Lepisosteus oculatus: one gene and its partner. The protein of the gene in region 2 interacts with the protein of the main gene of each other region in a biochemical or structural test. Links are inferred from orthologs where the notes say so. Each region holds a gene or a part of one and is shown on either strand. Other genes may lie near its edges.

Region 1 (7,301 bases), on a different chromosome or scaffold from region 2:
ACTGAGCACATACAGTACTTAGTTAAGAGGATCCACAGTGAGAAATGAGCTACAGGAAATTGATTTATAATATTGCCTTGATATCCTAACACGCAGACATTACAGTCATTACCCTAAATTAAGAATATCACAGAGGAAATATTAAGAGTCCTGCTATGCCACAGCTTTATTAGGTCCACAGTCATGCTCGATCAGGTCACTCTCTTGCTCTTACCATGTTATATGGACAATACATTTTTTTTAATGTGCATTTTATATGCCTAATAGGCTAAAAGAGATTCAAAATTCAAAACATGAGCCAGTATATAATATATATTATGCTGAGACTTCAATCATGGAAAATAGGATAATATCTAAGAATTTGCATTCTGTTATGCAAAAATTAAAGCAGAATTAACATGCCACATTTACAATGGTAGATTTCTTATTCATTTTGCACTAAAACCAGGCAGGTGGGAAAGGTAAGACCTTAAGCTGCAATAATAATAATATAGATGGGGGTTCTTTTCCTGTTGTATCAAAGCTGATAGCTTCATACCTCACTTATACACTTATAAGTAACTTATACTCTTACAGGTTTAGGCACTCTTACTGCATAAATAGATAACACACTGTCTGGGTAGAATGAAGAGTTTGTCATTTTACAATAATAAACAATTCGATTTTTAAGCAAATGTAGTGCTAAATGCAGTGCACTATATGGATAAAAGTAGTAAAAAATGAGAAAGTAGCAATAGAGACCTATGATTTCAGTTTTTATCATTATCATAAGAGTCCCTTACATTTATTAACCATTTTCCATCCTCATCCTCATCTACCACTGAAGTGCCACATCCCCCTGTCGGAGGTTTGGCTGTCACTGTGTACCAGCAAACCCACACAGCAGATCAGAAGAAGGAGTGAAAAATTGTTTTAGAGATTGTATTAATCTTAGGTATTATTGTATTAATTAGGTAGGCCTAATTGTGCAAGCCAAAAGTGGAATTTAGCCAGGACACTGGGTCTAACACCTCTACTCTGGTATTAAATCTTCTAATCTTCAATGTCTAAGTAGCCAGGACCTTGTTGTAAGGCCATATCCAATGAATATTACCTACTACTGTGTCCCTGTCATTGGTTTGGACAATTTATCGGGCAGCAAAGTTGCCACCTACAAGTCCAGTGACATCAGTTTGAAGTATCCCACTCCATCCTTGTAAAGCTTCTAAGAGCTGACAAGATCAGGCCAGGAGGTAATAACGCTGCCATCAGACTATACAGTGGATAAATGGATACAGTCTGAATTACTCTTCTTTTCACTTTGTTCAAACTACTCACCTTCATTATTCACTAAAGATTCTAAGGATTCTCCCCATTTCTTGGCATCCCCTGGACAGATTCTGTAAAAGATGTTCAATATTGTGTTTATAAGTATTCCATCTACTTTTCACCCAATTACCTAAATCTGATATACTGTCTCTAATGTTGTACCTGATCTTCCTAACAATATTTAGAATTTTGATCCTGAAGGAATTGAAAAATTATAGTGTAAAACATCATTGTGTTTTAATGTACCTTAAATCGATAAGAGTAATCATATCTTTATGGTCCTTACATAGTTACATAGTGGCATACATATTGACTAAAATTTTCTGTATTCAATTTATGTTTTTAACTGCTATTTATCTCATTGAAATTTCAATGCGGAGTTGTACAGTATTTATGTTGCTTTTCTGGTTCCTATAAAATGTATTGCAGATAACACCAGTGATACAACCTGCCACTTGCAAGGTATTAATAAAACGTGTAGGGACAGGAAGGCAGGAAGAAGAGCAGGGAAATTTTATTATATATAATGTATATTGTTTGTGCTATGAAACCATCTGTCTTAAGGAGGTTTATTGCACCTCAGGAGAACTACAATGAATGTTTTTTTTCTTTTATGATAATGGATTGTGCTCCTTTTTTCGTTTACTGGATTTTTTAATATACTCACTTCTTTGGTCCAAAGGATTTCTCCTTTTTGTGGTTAGCATTATTCTGATCAGGCATCAAGTCGGGCTTCTGAAGAAGAAATCCGAAACGATGCTTCATATCTTTTGCACTGGAGAAAAAAAAATGATATAATGCCTGAAAACACATCCAAGGTTTCACATGGAGATGTGAAAATTATATATATATTATATAATGTGAAAGGTACTACTACTAAGTTAAAATCAAGAAAGCATGGCATTTATTCACAATTGAGAACCATTTCTTCAAATCTGTACTTATATTTGTATTCAGATTTAATCACACTATACTGCATTGCAGTATTTTGTTCTTTTTTGAGTATGGAATATTAACTTTCAGAACAATGAGGTACATTTAATTTTTGTTTTCTATCTCTGCTTATATATTCATAAACTTGGTCAGTACAAAGACAACCAATTTCAGATAACAGCATGCAAAACATTTAAACAGTGTTCTTAACTCTAAATCATTAAATCAATATTCCATTGAACACCACAGCAATCTACAGGGTTAATGCATAATGGCAGATCTTTTCAAAAGGTTGCAACATGTATGTGTTCTTTAAATAAAACAAAGCATTTTAAAGTTGTTAAGTTCTTACACAAATATTCATAATTAGCTTACCTCTCATCATCAGTCTCTTAAATGAGGTACAGTTATTTTCAATTTCACAAGTATTTCAAGGAGAAAATACTTCTTTAAAGTACAATAAATTGTTCAGTACTTTTTTTCACATATAGTACTGTAAACTCAGAATGACAATGTTTGAAAAATATATTTTACAGTCTAAATTGTATCAATGGTATTCAATTCCATTAGAGATGCTAGCTAAAAAAAACGTATTTTATGACAATTAAATTTTCATACCTTTTCAAACATGTTGCAGGAAGCGCTGCAAGTCCCTTGCACATTTTGACTTTGGGTTACAATTCCAGCAGAAAAGAGGAATGAACGTTAATCTTTGCCTTCTCTTGCGTACTGCTGAGCAGGGTGTCTCTCAATGCTTAACTGCACTTCCCTCTGCCAGTTTAGGTTTTATAGCTCTGTAGTCTCTGGGGTCAGATGGCCAGCCAATCATCAGTGTTCTCTTTAAACAGCTGTCTGCTGCCTGCAGTTGGGAAGACTGCAAAGGATAGAAAAAATGAAATAAAATAATATACCCAACTTAACAAAGCACAGCTGTCTTGTGTTTAGACCATACACCATAGATGACAACAGGACAATCTGTTTGATCTGTTGTATTTTTTTTTCTGTGACAACTAGTGAAACCAGAAGCTAAAGAGGAAAATTGTTCCCAAAGGATCGATAAAAAGTTAACAGCCTAAAGATGACAGAAAGAAGGTAGTGCCCTGTTCACGAAGCTAGCAGTTAAGCCCAACTAAACCTTATTTATTGTTTTACATGACCATTTTAGTTAGAATAATACCATTATGGCAACTTTTTTTTTATTTTTAAGGCACCCTTAAAATTAGTTTTCACTCCATGCACATAGCCTTACATACCGTTGATAACTACATGCATAGAATTTATATTTTCCACATATTTGCAAACGTTTTCTCAAGGTGCTCCAGTTTCCTTTCAGAATCCAAAGCCATGCTAGTAATTTAATTGATTTCTGTAAAACTGGCCCTGTGGTGAGTGTGCCTGTTAGTGTCTGTGTGTGCCCTACAACAGACTGAAATGTAATCCAGGCTATATCCAGGTTTGCACTCATTGCTTGCCCGGTTATGCTGCAGCTCTCCTACAACCCTGTACTGGGTAAAGTGGTTGGAAAATGAACAGATTTATTTGAAAAAATAGAAGTCAGGTATGCCTGTTGTAGGTGATAACTCTTCAGAAAAAAATATTTTTTTCAAATCTTAAGCGACTTACTTTTTTAGTTAAACAACATCAATTCAGTATTAAATCAGATCACATCTTGTAGTATCTTGTTTTTTTATTTTATGTGTAGTACAGTCTCTGATATTTCACTAGAAAATAATATGCAGTATTAATTGTTTACACAATTACTTATCAACCATTTCCATTGGACTATAAATCAAATTTGTACTTATTTGTTCATTAGATGGTCAATTTGAATTTTTGTTCTGAAATTAAATTAATTTACAAGCATCTGTCATTTGATGAAAACATGGGTCAAACAGAAGCAGCATGTCACATCAGTATTTGCTTAAAATTACTCCCTGTGTTCCTGTTTTGTTCATGTTCTTAAACTAAGATTTCCACTGAGTTATAAAATGAGCAAAGAATAGGGTAGTCTACCACATATTTGTGATAGTGCTCTAATAGTGTACTTTTTCCAACACACATACTGTACATTTAACCTACAGAGAATAACATTACAAATAATATAGGTCAGCTCTGCTTAGATATCCCTTTCATGAAATACAGCTGTTTGATGTAACAATATCATGGGATCAATTTTGACCTTTTGTGACAAGTACTGGGATTGCAGTTGATCTAAATGTTTTGTGTTAGGATTAAGTATTGTCTTAGAAGATACTGCAAAGTCTGGCCATGAAGAATAAAGAAGGCCATTTTTAGAAGAATAAAGACACTGGAAATATATTAACTAGTGAGCTCAACTAGAATGCCAAATGGCTTCATAATTCAAAATTGTTCTGAGACAGGTAAAATTCCTTTATCCTCAGCCACAGTCTCATAAATCATAACAATGAGCACAGATTGTGAGAATTTCTTATTAATTTCTTTGACCCATTGGCTGACATCAACTCTGGCCATCAGAACTTTAATAGAATCAGACTAACTCTCTAGTGCTGAGTGGTATTGAGATACCTGGGTGAGGAAACAAGAGTCTGGCTGTTGTCTGACAAGACAACTGGAATCTTCCCACTAGGTGAATTGAGCTAAGGTATTTCTGCATAGGCTGTGATAGAACAACATAATTGAGTACAGATCTACCAATTACAAATATCTGAGAAGATATTAAATGACAAAATCAGACAGCTATCGAAGTGTGGTAGAATTATTATTTTTTTTTAATTGAGAGCATGTTGAAAAAGCCTGACCTGTCCATATTATCCAATTATCTTGGAGCTCAGTAGCTGCTTCATTTCCTAGATTCTAACAGTTTATTTCATGCACACTAATAAGTATGACAGTCACGAATGACCCACTGAAGAAATGGGAGGATGAATCCTATGCAGTACCTAAGGGACTAGGCGAGAGACTAAGTCCGAGTCGAGAGCCGAAGTTCGTAGAAAAAGGTAGCAGAGTAGGTTTCCAATCCAAAAGAGGGCAAGGGTGACGTCGTAGTCGAAAAGGCAGTTCCGTGATCAAAAGGTGAAGGTCAATCAAGAAGGCTTCCAAATCCAAAGGGACAAGACAGTAGACGTAGCCAAAGGTGAGCCAAAGCCAAGCTAGGTAACAAAGAGCAAGAAGGAAACAAAAACTGAGGCAAGTTAGGTATACAAAAGAACAACCAATACCAGGCTAAGATCAGAGGGTTCAGAGTACGTTTAAGTACTGTGCAAGGAAGAAGGTGCGTTGATTGAAGAAGTGTCGTGGTTGGCCGATTTGCAGGGGCGGTGTCGTTTGGCAGAAGTGCCCAGGGCTGGAGTGTAATTAGTGCGGCTGCGTTTGCGAGAATGTGCTGAGTAGAGGGCATGACAGACAGAGTGGATCGGTTATGTAAATTGATGCAAAAATCAAATCAAGAAGCATATATCAAATCCAAAATTCATGCTAAAACCAGTAAAAATCAATAGGCTGTTCTCCTGTAGGAAAAACAATAGACAAATTGTCCACTCGGTACTACAGGAATTTAATTAGGGAAATTGCCCATCCTTTTTGCTAAGAGAAAGTAAAGTCTTGTGTATAACAACACTGATATACGTAGAAGTGTATTAGAGCATTACTAATAATTAGTAAATATCTACATATATCTCATTCTTTTTTAAATGCATTTAATCTTTATGCATGAGACAACTATTTTGTTTTATTTATTGTAAATATGCAAAACATAATAAAAGTATTTAAAGTTTGCAACATATTAATCAGACTGACTTATACAATTGAGTTTTTACAGCTAATGAGCATATTTTAATTTCTGATATTTTATAGTTCAATGGAATTGAACTTCAATTTGATAAATAAACAAGTTGAATTGTGTGAAACAAAGTGTGGCCTAGATATCCACTAGTGACTCAGCAGTGGGTACTGATCAGCACACTAAATGAGGATCAACAAGCATTTCCTTAGGGAACATTTTCAACCCGGGACATGACAAATAGAAAACCTGAATTACTAACAAGCAGCAGCTGTGACCAGATTTTGCTTTTGTTTCTGAAGTTCCAATGTTCCACTGTGTTGTTTTGATTCATTACAAGGTATTAACAGGCACGTTAGTAGCATATACTTTAAATGCTGAATCACAGCACTTGTCTGTATTAGCCAGGAAACGTAATGACCTCCCTTGGCTTTGGATATTTCCACATTATTTGCTGCAGCAGACAGCATATTGAGTTTTTATACTGCAAGGGCACTGATGAAACCCGGGATAACAATTAAAATGTTCTTCTTAGAAACTAATAAATTCACATTTTGAATCCAAGCTCTTCTAATTAACAGTGTTATAATAATAAACAGCGTAAACGTATAATAAACAGCATAAACAGCGTTAACGAAGGGTGTACTGTGCTTTTTTTTTAAATGGATTTAACAATGGGTCCTTATTATTGTTCTTTATTATATTATTGTAAATAGTGGACTTGAAGATTCCAGTTATAGAAATTGCAGGTTTTTTACTGGCTAACAGAAGCAAATATGAGCTTAATTTTTCATTTCACCATTACAAGCATTTAAGATTTTGTGGTGCACAAAGTTTGTAGCACAAACGTTTTCATGAGGTTAAGAGAAATTATACCGTGTCGTGTCCACAACTGGTAACTTGAAGAAGTCAAGTTTTGGGTTTATACGTCGGGGTCTGGTCCGGCAGTGAAGCTCCGCTCCTGTTTAGCCTCCGAAGCCGTACAGGGTGCGGCCCTGGCGCTTCAGCGCATACACCACGTCCATGGCAGTGATGGTCTTCCTCTTGGCATGCTCGGTGTAGGTGACGGCGTCGCGGATAACGTTCTCCAGGAACACTTTCAGCACCCCACAGGTCTCCTCGTAGATAAGCCTGGAGATCCGCTTCACTCCACCACTGTGAGCCAGGCGGCGAATGGCGGGCTTGGTGATTCCCTGGATGTTGTCTCGGAGAACCTTGCGGTGACGCTTAGCGCCTCCTTTCCCGAGTCCCTTTCCGCCTTTGCCTCTTCCAGCCATCTTCAAGTTACCAGTTGTGAACA
Region 2 (7,680 bases):
TGGGTCCACTGACCATAGCCCAACTGACTGTCAGGACTCGCTCAGTTCCTGACTCTGACCAGATTCTTTGATGTTAACACACCCTTATCCCCAGCAATACAGAAACTGCTTCAACACCCCTTATCCCTTTCAGTTGGGTTTTTTTTTTGCTCCCACACAAAAACAATCACAATCCATTGATTTTAGCCAAACAGATGTCGGGGGGAGATCAATTCTCTAGAATTTGGACAACGACGGTTTAATGCCGCTTTCTATGCAAATGTTGTCTTTAACTGTCGCTCCCATTCATCTACAAACACAAGGCAGGAGTTTTAAAAGCAGATCTGCCGAGGCTGGTTGTGAATTAAATTTAATTGTCACAAGTTGTCATTTCATAAATGACGGGCGAACAGGTTTGTTTTTGTTACATACAGTTAACAGTGTTGGTACGTTATTGCACTGGTAATATCAAGACCTCGCCTGAAAGCCTACCTTTCCCTGTCTTAATAAAGCCTGGAGACTGCTTGAGCACTTTCGCTACAACCCAACACTGCCTGCTATGGGATCTTGTTTTTTATTTCGCTTTAACAATCCCGATCCACACTCCACTGCCGTTCTCCGGCGAAGCAGAGAATACTCTACGGACTTTTCCTCTTTCCCTCTCAACCTCGGGCTCTCTGAACACGCCCGAACGCCTCCGAATGCAGCAGAAATCCGCTCCGAATCCCCCCTCCTTTCCAAGCGCTCCTTCTCGGTAGGTGAACCCATACCCGACAGCACCCGAGTGTTTCCGAATTCCAACGATTGAGCGAACAGGCGCTGCTGGGCGCTGTCCACCACCTCAACCGCCTGAAATCCTCTGATCTTCCCCTCACAAACGCAGAAGGGGCCCTGCTGCCATTGCAATACGGGCTTATTTTTACAATTGGCTTTACTACCGACAGGTACATACCTGCAGACTGAGCCACCGATTTACAAGGAACAAATGTGAATGTCACAAAAGGGGAAGAGGGGAACTCAACCCGTCTCGGGCAAAGGCACTGGGGCGGTTTTCAGCCGAGTACCCGCAGGCTCAGTACACAGTACCGTTATTTCCAAAATCCCACTTTGTTTCTAATCAGGCGCCATACATACGGTTCCCTTCAGACACAACAGATGTATGTGCTTTATTATACATCCACGTATTATTATTATTATTATTATTATTATTATTATTATTATTATTATTATTAGCGCGAACTACACTAAAAATGGGCTAATCTAGCCGAGCTGTCCTGCTGGTCGCAACATGAGACACGAAGAAGAGAAATTAGAAGGCAGGCAGGAGCACTCGGTTGTCTTGGGCTGGGTGAGATTAAAAAATGGCCGTATCTGATGACAGGTTCGGGTGCTGTTCTTCCACACACGCGAGTTCACACTCTCGTCTGCGCGCAGTATCTGTGTGCTTGTGTGCGATCCACACACACAATACACTCCAATTTGCTTTTTACAATGGAAGCGCTGCCACCACCCCCGTGGCCGTTTTAATAGCTGGCGTGGGGGGGAAATCCTGAAATCTCCACTAAACGGGGCTTTAAATGGCAGATCTCTGCCCCAGTTAAATCCTTATTATAGGCAGATTTTTTAAATGAATGTGAGGGAGCGAACTCTCCAAGCCCGTGTCAGGAGATCAGAAACTGGTGGGGGATGAGCGCTCAAACCGAGGCATTAAGCTTAAGAGAGAAGAGGTGCGCTCCTAATGGCTCTCCGGCGGGCTACAACCGCTCGCCTCCCGCTCCACACGCACGGCGATCACACGCGAAACCGAGGGTTTTCTCTGCTTTTTCAGCACCATTACCGTGAACAGCACACGCATTCGTTCACGGCCAAGCCTCACACATTGCCAATTTGTCTCCGAAGCCTGCGTTGCTAGGTGCGCTCGATCGGTGCTAAAACGATCATAATTCCTTGAAAAATATGGCGGACCTAAGTATTAGCCAACCGGACTAGGGTGAGAATGGACAGGGAGGGGAGGGGAGTCGGGGGGTGGGGGGCGATTGGTGGGGCGAAGAGAGGAAAAAAAATCACAGCCCGTGTTAAAGGCGAAAAGACATGAACACCAGCCCACTTACTTCATCTGCTTCACGATGGTGCTTTTGCCTGATTCCCCTGCCCCTGTTGGGATAAAAACACAGAATAAAAAGGGCCGTCAGTGTTGTGTTGTAAGGAGATAAACGAGATTAGAGCCAGACGAGCAGCCGCGCTAACGCCGGGACTGCTCTCTCTCGCCTGCAGGGTCTGAATGGGCGACAGCCACAGTGGCCACAGCCGGGCTTGTCAGCGTAGCACAGCCTTACCTAGCAGGAGTAATTTCACATCTTTTGCGGCAGTGATTCCGTCTTCTTTCAGGTTTTTCTCGATGGCTTTGCTCCTCTCCAAAGCGGCTCTTTCCTCGGCGCTCAGAGTACATCCCATGGTTAGGAAATCTCGGCTCTCTTTTTCTTTCCAAAAAGACGCAAGGTATCAAAGCAAGCAATCCTCCTTTTTTCTGTTTCTTCCCTGTACCCTCTCTTTCTCGCTCGCTCACTCGCTCGCTCTCTCTCTCGCTCGCTCGCTCGCTCTCCCTCCGTCTCTCGGCGACTAACGCATTAAAAACCGGATCGACTACAGTTGGCACGGGTCTGAACAAGGCTGGGCTCACTCTCTCTCTCTCGGGGGTCCGTCTGCTCGGTGCTCGGGCTGGGGGTCTCTAATGGGCGGCGGCGATGGCTGCGAGCGATCGCATCGTTCAGCTGTTCACAATGGAGAGGCAGGAGGGAGAGTGCGCCAGACTCAGTGCTCCCTGACAATTTCACTGACGTCAGAAACCGAGCGAGCATGCTCCGGCGAGCATCCTGATAGTACCGTTAACCGTCTCCATCCAGAGGGAAGGACCTCTCCCCTCCCTTTTGTCGCTGCTTCTCCTGTTTAAGGACGAGCTTTGAGGAGCGGGATCGCCCCCGAGTGACCCGCCTGTGCGAGTAGCCGTTGTCACTGTCGTTCTCTGAAAACGTCCCGAGTGTGCGGGGTGCAGACTGGAGCTTTGTGCTCTATTGTGTCCGGGAAGGTGTCTGTGCAGGCCGGGCGTATTCGCACCGAGGTGTGGTCTAGCGAAGCTCTCTGGAGGACTTCGATTATTGACACGGGATATTTAAAAGAGAGCCCCCTTCTGTAGAGCGTACCATGACGACTATTGAAATCATTTCTTTATTTTGTTTTATTTCGAGTTGTTTAGTCATGGGAGAATCGCAAAACCGCTTTGAGGCTTAGAAGAATTGTCAATTATAACTCCAGCTAATCTATTGCAGAGAGATCCCTTACTCTCGGCTGCGTTATTGTCGTGCTGTGCAGTCGTGCAAAGAGTAAACTGAAATTTACAAAAAAGTTGAGAAAGGGTGTTGCGCCCCCGAGTCCTGATCTACACGTAGGTCCATCGGTAATACCTTTCTAGAAACTCAGCCTTGTGGGAGTTTGCTCCCTCACTAAATCAAGTTTATTTTACAGAAATGGTCCGTAAAATTCTGCAGAAGTCTGTTACTAGTGAAATATAACTTGTTATCAAGGGATACGCGCACCTTTCGTCCAGTCATAAGAAAATGACTGTACTGTGTGGCATCACGTGAGTTTTGAAAGCTCAAAGCTCATCCGATCGCTCTGCTCGAGGACAGAAAGCGCACTTTGACCTCTCCTGGCTGCGACAACGAACACGCGCACTGGAGCTACAGGATTACTGCGGCTCCGGGATCAAGTGCTAGGCCTTAAATACAAAAGCGTTTGTTTCTGAATGAGAGGAGGTGGCACTTTTTTAAGACAGGCAATAAAATGTGACTATTCGTGTTGTAAATCTATGGTACGTGCAGTCTTGCCTACATACACGAACACAACTGATGTAGAGCACCTTTGCATGCTGGTTAGAGCTCTGGACTGACTCCTTCTACAAGTGCTATTCGGTTCAGTAGAAACATTTTCCCAGAGAAAGTGATGGTTGTGCGCGCGAAGGAAGTGGCGTTAGTTAGCTTCGCCATCTTAACAGCCACCATTTACAGAAATGCAGGAAGACCTGCTTTGTTTTTCTCCGTTTCCAAAGCTCCCAAATCGAATCCCATTACATGGTCATGACACACGAGACTAGTCCCCAACCACAACAAATCCACAGACAAAAACTAATCAATATGTTTCTAAAACATGATCCGTTGTGTCCCAGAAACCTGGTGCTCCTCTCCTCATGCCCTGAAGACGACAGATTGATTAACTTAACACCTGTGGGAGAGTCTGCTATTGCTGACAGGACTTCTAGATACTATGCGTGCTTACTGCTCTGCATCAGAAGCACTACCTACAATATGTAAGACCAAAATGAACACAGCATGAGCTTAATTGAGTTTGATTTATTTTATAATTGCCTGTTAATGAAAACAGTCCCCACACAACTCTGAAAGCCATTATCTGTCTTGTCAAAGTTTGAAGTGAAACAAGAACTCTACTTCTGATTCATAAAAGTGATATTGTAATAAACAGCACAAGGAATTTTCCTTTTAACTGCTCAAAAATATGCTGTTGGGAGATGTTTTGTGCTGCAGAATCTGCTCTGTAATACATGATCTTTCCTAAGCAGATTTGTTCAGTATGCATTACCAGACATATCAAAATCCAGGGAGCCCTTGTCTGTCCAGGCTGCGGGGGAAAACTGTATCCGTTTCTTCATTCATCTGGAGCAGTTTAATGACCTCCTATTGCTGGGAGTCTTTCTTTTTCAGGATGATACCAGATCGACACTGAAATGTTTTCTCCTTCGACCTGATTGCCTCCTGTGTGTCTGAGCTGCCGGATTTAAACTGAGAGAATTCTGTAGTCTATAGATCAGGGTGTTCAGGCTTTGTACATTTAAAATAGCATCTCTATAGTATTAGGACATGAAGCTGCAAGCACTGTAAATTGCATGAAAGTCACAGCTCTTTCTCTAATAGTAACTTAAAAGTGCACCTAAAAACTGTTGAAAACTGTGTCCCAAGCCATGAATGTCTGTGCAGTGGTTACCTGTGTAGTTTGAAGCTGTGTCATCATTCAGAACCCAGTAGATTCCACATGTGATCTGTGTACTGTTGGTCTGTACAAGAGAGAGGAGACCCAGGGAGTTATTAGCCCCAGTGTTACTTCTGTCTGCCCGAGTGTGTGATTGGTTAATTGATTAATTGCACAATCATGAAAAAAAACCATTGTAATGCACATGCCAGTAGTAAGCCTGGTTTCAGACTCCTCCCTAGCTTTCCCAGAGGGCACGAATCCTGCCAGCTGGCCATCTTTCTTCCTCCTGCCCCTCCCAGGCTCTCACACGCGATCTGACCCCCTCGCAGGGCGGCCAGCCTGCCTGGGACCCGAGTGCCCTCGATTTCCTGTGGCCAACCAGTATGAAGCTCTCTAACCTTCACAGCAAGCAGCTAGCATTTGTTTAAACAAGCTTTGTCTACTTCTCTTTCTTATTATTATCATTGTTATTGTCACCATCATCGGTGTTGGAGAAGTAAGTTTGCTCATGTAGCACCTTGCAGTCACAAGGTGCCTGGGTAAGGTAATCATTTAATTTCTGGATATCACATATATCTGCATCTGGCATTTTTGTATAAGCTTGGGCTTACCTACAAGCCCAAGTGAAAAGATTCAGGATATCAGACTACGTGTGATCAAGACGTTAAGGAAGCAGAAGGAAGTGATGCCCTGTGCCCAGGCCTCACTCTTGTCATTGCACCACACTCCGAGAAGTTCCCCTGGCATCCCAGAGCAGGCTGGGTAATGGCACTGTGGTAGGCCAAGCAGAGACCCGTAATGAACCATATGGGTAGGGCTCTCTTAATGACAGCTGCCAAGCCTATACCACAGTGGCATGTGAAAATAAATGAAAACGCATGAAAAAATCAGAGAAAGGCCATTTATTTTTACTTTCAAGGAATGGTAGAATAAATTGAAAACAGGATGGACTTGATGTTTAAAGAGTCTGCAGTTAACAAGAAGCAAATAATGCACTGTTGTTATATCTAACAATACCTTAAAAATACCACTATACCTACTATTTCTAATAAAACTGATTAAACCTGTTCTTTGCACTTGAGCCACGTCTTGTTTTTAGTGGTAAAAGCTAGTCTCCAAGGCTGCCTGGTGCTTGGAGTATATTCAAGGGATGTCAGTGATGAGCAGGACAGACAGATTAGTGTAGCTCTGGTCACCAACAGCACAGGATCCCTCAGCTGCAACACCTTTCAGCTGTCTGGGGTTTCCATAGCCCATCTAAAGGCAAAGGATATAAAACCCCACCAGAGCTCTCAGCTACACAGCTAGTCTAATTATATCATTGGCTACAACACTGTAACACTTCGGCCCAGATCATTTGAGGTGATCTACACTTTAGTTAAGACTAACTTTAAAAGAATGAACGTGTTGAGTGATCAGCTGTAAATTACCATAAGAAAAACCTTAAGTAAAAAAAAAAAGAGTCTAAGACTCACTGCGTTCAAGAGTCCAGGCTTTGTAATCCAAAAAAAGCTAAAATTTAATTTGGTGAATTAAACTGATTTGCACGGCTTTCACTAAAGAAAACAATACCTGATATTAATGTGGTTCACAGAAAGGCATCACTAAATCCTAAATCCTCCTCATTCTCCGGGAAACAAGTCCCCGCCATTCATGAAAAAACAGTTTCCTTAGTAAGTCACCTAAATATAAATTGCCACGTTTGCAAATAAACTGCATTAATGCAGTTTTTGTCTGTGGACATCTCACAGGGTTGCCACCTAAGAAGTCTCTGCAGTAAAACCGAGCTAGACTGACCAATCCAAGAGCTCTCTGGGATAGCTCTGTGCAGAAATGGGTCAACATTGAGACGAGGAATTCTCACACTTCACTGGTTTTCTGAAATTTCCTTATGTGTGTATATACTGTACTATATGTGTCTATATAGTGCATAGATGTGTGTGTGTGTGTGCCAGATTCAGACGTCTTTTACTGATTTTGTTTCTTGAAATATTCCAAAATAAATATCCTACACAATAATTTGAAAGCTCTTCTAAGGAAAAGCTTTCATAGTTTTATTTCCGGATGCTCCAGGGACCTCCGCGCGATGATTCAGAAACAGCAGCAATACTGTTCAAGTTTGTCACACTCCAGTGCAAGGAGCTTGAGTTTTCCAGCCTTCTGTCTCTGCACAGTGTGCGTAGGATCCACAGAGACAGCAGGGCACAAATGCTCAGCACCAGTGTCTGCAGTCACATGTGGGAGACACCCAACGACCCTCAGTTCTCTGCACTCTCTATGGCGGTGAGACGGGAGAGAATTTGGGATGGCCTCAGAGAGGTGAGTGAGTTTATTTTGTGCTTGTGAGACAGGTGACACCCCCCTGAGCCCTGCAGGGCTCAGGCCACCGCAGACAAGACTTAGGCTGTAGGTGAAGCACCACAGTTTAATGTTTAAGCAAAGCAGACAGATTCAGTTTCGAACCTTCCACAGATATTGGTTAAACTGCTCCACCCCTGGCTTCTTTCAAGCTTCTCCCTGCCCTCTTGCTTGTGTGTGTCAGTAGGAACTGAAGGAACTGGGGGGAGAAACACTCACTCACCACACATCCTCTCAGAGCAGGTCAAGCACACAGGATGCTAACACAGTCCATAGCAGGTTTTCCTGAGCAGAGTATCT

What was found. The genes of interacting proteins can lie anywhere in the genome.
Region 1: the proteins of gnao1a (region 2) and rgs4 form a complex in vitro, tested with the Homo sapiens proteins (2 studies listed by BioGRID). The link is inferred for Lepisosteus oculatus from reciprocal best matches to the Homo sapiens genes GNAO1 and RGS4.

Annotation. Positions count from the first base shown.
Region 1 is NC_090704.1:13,187,957-13,195,257, forward strand, and holds the start of rgs4 (regulator of G-protein signaling 4), read right to left. Parts: upstream 3,006-7,301; 5' UTR 2,904-3,005; coding exon 2,860-2,903; intron 2,084-2,859; coding exon 1,976-2,083; intron 1,380-1,975; coding exon 1,318-1,379; intron 1-1,317. Other genes in the region: histone H4, read right to left, coding at 6,967-7,278. UniProt on the Homo sapiens protein: Inhibits signal transduction by increasing the GTPase activity of G protein alpha subunits thereby driving them into their inactive GDP-bound form. Activity on G(z)-alpha is inhibited by phosphorylation of the G-protein.
Region 2 is NC_090715.1:1,057,414-1,065,093, forward strand, and holds the start of gnao1a (guanine nucleotide binding protein (G protein), alpha activating activity polypeptide O, a), read right to left. Parts: upstream 3,002-7,680; 5' UTR 2,434-3,001; coding exon 2,316-2,433; intron 2,134-2,315; coding exon 2,091-2,133; intron 1-2,090. UniProt on the Homo sapiens protein: Guanine nucleotide-binding proteins (G proteins) function as transducers downstream of G protein-coupled receptors (GPCRs) in numerous signaling cascades.